2 linked regions of the Tribolium castaneum genome follow. The protein of the gene in region 1 interacts with the protein of each later gene in a biochemical or structural test. Links are inferred from orthologs where the notes say so. Each region holds a gene or a part of one and is shown on either strand. Other genes may lie near its edges.

Region 1 (3,422 bases):
AGAGTATACACGAGTTTCGCAATGGGACGTTCCAACGCTTTATTAGATATAGGATTATATTTTAATCTGATTTTTCTCTAACGTCACGGTCTCGTATTTCATTGTTTTAGGAATTAAGTTAAATTCCCAGCTTTGTTGAAAAGTAGGAATCTGTATTTGATTTCTTCATAATTTTTTTATTGTTCCTTAAAATGCAACAGACATCTACAGCAATCATGCTTCGTATGAAGTAATTACCGTGCCATTAAAACACGAACGAGAACGCGTCGCAAAAAGTGGCAAAGCGGCGTGAAATCTCGGAAAAAAAATTAGGTTTTCACTCGTGGTGTAATAATCCACTCGTGAAATAAAGCGTCCGATTTACACTCAAACTCGTTAAATAATAGTATTAGCTAATGGAATTTATACTTTCAATGAGATATCTAATCATTAATTTAAAAAAATAATTCGGTAAAATGCGTTGGCGTTTTTATAGTTTTGAAACAGCTGATATATTACAAAACAAGTTTCATAAGACCAGTTTTAAAGCACGAATTCAGTGTAAAAAACGAGTGGCGTCAGTTTTTTATACTGTTTTTTGTAATTTGCACCCTTTTTGTCGTTTTTGACCAAAAGTTGTTATTTTTGTCGATTTAGGGATTTTTGTGACGGTTGGTAATATCCCAATTTTGAAAGTGAAAAATTAAATTAAAATTTTTGTTTTATTTAAATTCTGTCAAAAAACACGAGCATCAAAGATTATAAAGGTAATATAGCATGAACGCTTCTTGAAATTTGTGAAATTAGAAAAAATACGGTCTCGAATTTGCTTCCTGCCAACCTAAAAATTTTCGTAAAATGTTCCGTCAAATAATGACTGTTATGACATCGCACTTAATGACATTTAATATGCCTATAGTCCATTTTTTATATAATAAACTGTCAATGTCAAAATTCTGATAAAGACCAGACTGTATCACCCTAAAAGTTCATGTCCAGCCACTTTTGAAACTGGCTGTATTCTGTATTTGACATTTTGGACATCAGATTTGACATTTTTGAAAATTGGACGTTAGAAAATAACTAAATGTGTTGTTGTACGTGTTTTAAATTGGAGACAACTTGTAAAATTTGGAAACTGAATTTGGCAGCTAAAAAATTACATCAACCTTATTTCAAAAAAATTACTATTCATGATAGTGCCAACCTGACGGCTTTAAGACAGTTGATTATAAAAAAATCGACTATATTAAAGCATCAAAATGGCGGCAAATTATACAAGTATTTCGTGTTTGCTTTGGCAAATCTTAAATAACGCGCCAAAAGTGTATTCGCCAATGAGAGCGTCGCTCGTTCAAATGGACCAATTACGGCGAACCACATTTGTGATAACAAAAATGGCAGTGTGACGCAATTTAAAAAAAATCATAGGATTGAGTTTCGGTTGCAAAGCCAAATTCTTTATGGTCTTAAGGTTTTGTGTGTAAGTTTGCATTATTTATAAATATTTTGTCTGTATTAAGTAACTCTGACTCATAATATTTGCTGATAAGTGATAAAAGAAATGTAACCACGATTCAGATAACCGGCTGAAATCGCATAAATGATAACACAGGTTTTGATTGCACTATAAAGAATAACCGACACTAACCCCAAATTTGCAAATGTAATACCTTACATTTATCAATTTTAAGGTTGAGCCATGTGTGTCTGGTGCGAGTTGAGACTCGCTCAAGTCAGCGAATGCGACCGTAAGTCTCTTTACCCAACCCTTCGTAATAAACATATGTGGATATCTTCACTTAAACGTTTCAAAACCCACAGTAGTCGAGCCCTCGAAGCTATCTGTCATGTGTTTATCCCACTTTTCCTTTCAGATTAAGGGATTGGCTGAGGCTGAAAGCAAATTCATTAATCTGAATGTTGTTGTCTTGCGATTTGACGCTTTTTATGAAAACAATGGGATACTACATCCTATTTGCCCGCCGGTTTATTCACACACGATCAATAACTTGAGTAAGTATTGACTCAAATTTTCGGGTTTTTGACTCATTTTCTCTAGAAAGCGCCCTCACGGGCGAATTAAAAATCGTGCGAATGGACCACTGCACCAGCCCTGCGAAAGGGGGCCGAGAGGTGTTTATTTTAGTCGAGAGAGTCACCAAAAGTGAGTCAATTAATTGTGAAAAATTGTCAATTCATTTATTGGTTTAGAGAACATTAAAATACGCTTGTATGAGTTGGACGACGATGACAACATCTTGTGGGAGGATTATGGCCGTTTCAGCGACTTGGACGTCCACCACCAGTACGCCATTGTCTTCAAAACGCCCCCATACAGAGACCCCAACATCAAATCCCCGGTTAAGGTTTATATTGAGCTCGAACGGCCGTCCGATCGCTCCCGAAGTGAGGCGAAAGAGTTCACTTACACCCCCAGTTCAAGTGTTTATAAGCCGGGTGCCAAAAGAGCAAGGACGAGTTATGACACTAGTTACGATTCGTCTTTACCTAGTGATGAATTACCGCTACCGATCAATAATTTATGTATCGATAACACGCCAGGTTTGCTTGATGATGTTCAGTTAGAAGTTACCAGTGATGACCTACAACAAGCGATGACTAACATTGATTCGGAGGAGTTTCGTCGATTGTTCAATGAGTTTGGACAAGACTATTCATTGGTGGTGGATGCACCCTCGCAGTATCCCAAAAAAAATGCCCCCAAGGGGGGTAACAAGAATAGGTCAGGATTGTATACTTTGTTTTTTTATGAGATTTTTGAGCTACTTTGCGCCCTCTGGTAACGATTTTTTGCGAAAATATTGCATCAAAACATTGGTAAGAGACTACAACATGACTATAATACTAGTCAGGATAGAAACTTGACCATATAATTTACCTGTCATTAAGTTTTTAATTTTGGTACCTTATCATGAATAAAAACAATTAGCGGTTATCATTTTATATATTTTTCATGATTTTAATTTCCTTACCACAATCTGAACACAACTGAAATGTCAGTGAAGTCGCTAAATTTTTTACATTCTAATGGCATACTAAGTTTTATCGCCCGCCAAAAACTAAGTACTTCTAGTTAGATAAGAACAAATATTTATTTTACATTTAATTTTCAAACGTTAATTTGTAGTTAATTTAAAAAAAAACGTATGTAGGACGGAAGTAACAATCGAACTAATTTTTGTTTCATTATTGGTATTTCACAAAAATTTAAATGTAAAATATTGAAACCAGCTCAGAAAACGAGCATTTATTTTTTTTTTCAAAAATCTAGGAAAGAGACTACCAAAATAATTTTAATGTTGAACTTATTTTAAATATAAATGAAAGTAATCATCTTGAAAGCCCTCTGGGTTTGCTTACTACATTTTCTCTAATGAAAAAATACATAATTCTTTTTTATTATTACACTTTCACTGTAA
Region 2 (4,110 bases), on another chromosome or scaffold:
GACAAGTGTGAATTTAGGTGACAATGAAATTTCCAAACTCGAACTTGGGGCTTTCAAAAACCTCAAAATTCACCATCTCACACTCAGTAACAACAAAATTTCTGAGATTCGAAACGGGACTTTTGAAAACGTCTCACTCCAAAGCTTGAATTTGTACGGAAATGGGCTCCGAAAAATCGACGGACCAATCACAAACTTAACAAATCTGGTCCTGAGCAACAACAATTTGACCGAAATCGATTTGCATTTCCCTGATTTAAAATATCTCGACTTGAGTTTCAATTCCATTCAAGTTCTAAAGCCCGGAGACTTGAAAAATCTTCCCGCACTGGACACGTTGGACCTCACCGCTAATACCCTTCACCACGTCCCTGAAGGTGTCTTCAGTCAGTCGAAACTGGTAACTTTGAAACTAAATTACAACCAAATCGCGAAAATCGAACCCAAGTCATTCGACGACATGTCTCAGCTCAGTGTTTTGCACATCGACCACAACAACTTAACCCAATGGGATGACAAATGGTTGAGTAATTCCCCCAAGTTGGCCTACATTTTCGCCGGTTTTAACCGAATTGGAGCTTTGCCGGGCCAAGCCTTCCGGAATTATCCCCAAATGTACAGCATTGATTTGCAAGGAAATTTGATTAAAGAAGTTTCACGGGAAAGTTTCGCGGGGTTGGAGAAAGTGGTGAATTTTAGTTTGAGGGATAATTTGATTGTGGATTTGGACCCAGAATGGCTGGCTAATGCGACGGTGGGAAGTGTGGATTTGAGTGGAAATAAGCTGGGGTGTGTGGAGGGAAATTTAGAGGAGGCTTTCAGAAGGGTGGACTTTGTGCATCTGGAGGGGAATCCCTGGCGGGAGGATTGTGTGGAAAAGATTAAAACATTTCTTTCCCAGTGGCCAAAAATAAAACGCATTGTTAGTTCTGTGTCACAACAACCAATTTGATCTAATATTGATTAAAAACTTTGTTTGTAGTTTTATTGTTGTCCCAGAGCGAAATTATTAAATTTACCGCCTGTTTGAATGGCGTTCTACACGATTGCGTCCTATGTTTAGTAGGATATTTTCTGTTTTGATTAAGAATTTAATTAAAGTATTAACGTAAAAAATTAAATTTTGTTGTTCCAAATCAATTCGCAGCCAATTTATCGATATCGCAGTCATCTTTTTATTGATTTACTGTTTGGCTCATGTCCTTTGATTAAAACCTAGGGATTTTTCGCATGGATGCCATCACGGGGAAGTCCCTTGTTGAGTTACGTGTTTTAATCAGTTTATCGAATTAATTGTTATTTAAAACCAACGACAATGGGTGGATTGTTTTCAAGCCAAGGAAATGATTATTCCGACGATTCGTGTTCCGAAGAGGAAAGCAACGAGGTGTCGTGCAAAAATCAACCTACCTTTGGTAAATTTGTTTATCAACTTTTGATCTCAAGTGTCATTTTTTGCAACATAACCCCACTTTTTGTTACGTATTTAATTCCAGTAATTTAGTATTAATTTGAGCGATGTTTTAGATGAGGACAATTGTTTGGACTCCACTGACACCATAGACGCCAGTTTATCGCAACCAGCGATGCCAATAACGCTAAATGTGGACCAAGTTATGTCCATTGAAAACGACTTGGATGACTACGAGAAGGTAGTTATTTCTGGGAGCTATCCTTTAATAAAGAATGGTTACAGGTGGCCCTTGTGTTTTTGATTTACGAAGACCCCAAATCTGCGTTTGTTCAACTAACGAAATTGCTCCAAGGGTCCCATGACAAACTCTTGTATAATTGGGCAATTCATGAGAACTTAGCCGGTCGGAAGTGGCAAGAAAAGCTGGTTGAGGCACTTTGCATCATCCAGAATTACCAAATCATATCAAGTTTGGGCTTCAAACGGGAGGATTTAACCGCTCGGTTTTTACCGCACCACATTTTCACGTACGCCTATGTGAACAAAGTCAGAAAGGCCCTCTATTTCGTCTGCGAGGCGTTGCAGCAGAAGGACGTTGAGAATTTGCTCAACTTGGCGTGTAAGGACTTCAGGGAGAAGGGGCTGGATTTTAAGTGCATTAATGCGCAATTTTTGGAGTTGTATTTGCTGCATTGGGAGACTGTGGGGTACGTAAAACTGGACGATTTGAGTAATTTGTGTAGAGTTCTCAAGCAAATTGACCAGTTGGATATTTGTGATAAACTGAGAGAAATTGTGCCAATTGTGCACAAATCTGCTGAGAGTAGAAGTGTAGATAAAAGAGTAGATTCTAGTGAGAGTGAAAAAAGACAGTCAGTGAGTGTGTTTGAGGGAATTTTAGATCCAAAGTCCAGTTTGCTTAGTCTGGCCTCGCTGGAGACGTCGCATATCAGTGCAGACAATGCAGCTTTTGTCAGCGATGAAAATAAATATTTTATTGATCCAGAAAGACCTGGCATTTGTTTGATCATCAATCAAGAGAATTTCTACAGAGAAGTGGACAGAAAATATCGAGTAAGTTGGGGGAGAGGTGTTTTGTACCATGCTCTCAAAATTTCTGATCAAAAATTGACAAAAGAAAAAAATATGTAAGGTTCTAAGGAGTAACTGTTGATTTGTCATTGTTTTTTATAGTTAAAAGACCTTTAATTAAGCTCTGTTTTCTGCAAAAATTACGAAAATCCTTGTAGGGATTGTCACTTGCATTTGTCTTGCCAAGGTATTTTGAGAAAACAAAAAAAAATTATTAATGCGTTAAGCAGTGATTGTAAGTTCATCATTTTTTTACAACCAAAGGGTGTTTTAAGAAAATATGCTTGGAAAAAATACTGTTTGCTTGTGAAAACTTAAGAAGAGTAGGTAATAAAAAAAATTACAATTGTATGTTCTTTCTAAATCCAATCTTAATTATTATCTCTCAGACTAGTTGATATCTCGTATTAAATATTTGTAACCAAGCATTAACGAGGTAAAAACTAAAAATAATTTTAGAGTTTTTATAAAAAATAAACGTTTAAATGAAAAAATGAAATGAAACTGTATGCTGTTTTCTAAATAAAATAATAAATGGGCGGTCTATTTCCAACAGGTAACATCTCTAGCTTTACTTAACTTTTCAGGAAACGAGTGAAACGTTTCCTGAAAATAAAATAAAATAATAAAAGTAAGGATAAGAATTTAAGTATAAGGTTTTCATAATTTTGATTAGCATAAGTTAATGCAAAAGAAATGCATATTTCTGTATTAATAAAGACAAGGACAAGCTTACAAAATTAAGCGAATGCTTCTGCTAATTGTTTGACTTATCAAATTATAGACAACTGGAGGCAAAAATAAAAGCTGCAGCCATATACAGAGCTTAATATGTATTTTTTATACAATTTGCAATAATTTAATAACTTATTTTTTAAAGTAAACAAGTGTAAAGTAAACAAAATCATAATATAATAGTCCTCAAAAGTACTCACATTCACATTATTTTCAATTATTATTTTTTGCAGGCTAAGAACTTTTAAATTCATAAATATAAAAGATTTTTTGTTTCATCTGTTTTTGAAGTAAAGGCGTTAATAGATGAAGATCTAACATGTCGCGGTGGAAATTTTTTAAGAGTATTCCATATTGAGGGAAACTCTTCTTGTATTCTTCTGCTGAATTAGCTCCATTCTATTCCATTAGGAATTTTTGTTAATGTAGGATTAGGTATTCCCCTATAAAAGTTTCATAGCTTTATTTTTTTATTGCCAGTTACATTTTTATCTGTTTTTTTTTTATATATAGCAGTATGTATGTTTATCAATTATTTTGTAATAATTTTACTATAACTAAAAATTCGGATTCTTTTTTCTCACGCAAAGATTCATGATAAGATGAGAAATCCCGAGGCATTCTACAATGGTATAATTAATAATTATTCTAACTGTAGAGTATTTTATTTTGCATCTTTTACGTGTCTTCCTTCTCTTATGAAATCCTTAAACCAGAAATTAAATTCAATTTACTTGAAGGAAGTGATACTTCAAGTTTTTTAAGTGACACACAAGAGACAAACAATTCCTTAGAATCATAAGCAAATGCTTTAAGTAAAAGCATTTTATTAATACCACCCATTAATCCAGTCTTTCCGAGTCATTTAT

What was found. The genes of interacting proteins can lie anywhere in the genome.
Region 2: of the proteins of Rel (region 1) and Dredd, one has a biochemical effect on the other in vitro, tested with the Drosophila melanogaster proteins (2 studies listed by BioGRID). The link is inferred for Tribolium castaneum from reciprocal best matches to the Drosophila melanogaster genes Rel and Dredd.

Annotation. Positions count from the first base shown.
Region 1 is NC_087400.1:6,389,418-6,392,839, reverse strand, and holds part of Rel (nuclear factor NF-kappa-B p110 subunit), read left to right. Parts: intron 1-1,856; coding exon 1,857-1,995; intron 1,996-2,041; coding exon 2,042-2,146; intron 2,147-2,193; coding exon 2,194-2,725; intron 2,726-3,422. UniProt on the Drosophila melanogaster protein: Transcription factor that plays a key role in the humoral immune response as part of the peptidoglycan recognition protein (IMD) signaling pathway.
Region 2 is NC_087398.1:10,957,804-10,961,913, reverse strand, and holds the start of Dredd (caspase-8), read left to right. Parts: upstream 1-1,203; 5' UTR 1,204-1,315; coding exon 1,316-1,415; intron 1,416-1,424; exon of another isoform or gene 1,425-1,477; intron 1,478-1,527; coding exon 1,528-1,652; intron 1,653-1,696; coding exon 1,697-2,488; intron 2,489-4,110. Other genes in the region: leucine-rich repeat-containing protein 15, read left to right, coding at 1-952. UniProt on the Drosophila melanogaster protein: Effector of the programmed cell death (PCD) activators rpr, grim and hid. May play an apoptotic role in the germline as well as soma. Fadd interacts with Dredd to promote cleavage of Dredd and is necessary and sufficient for enhancing Dredd-induced apoptosis.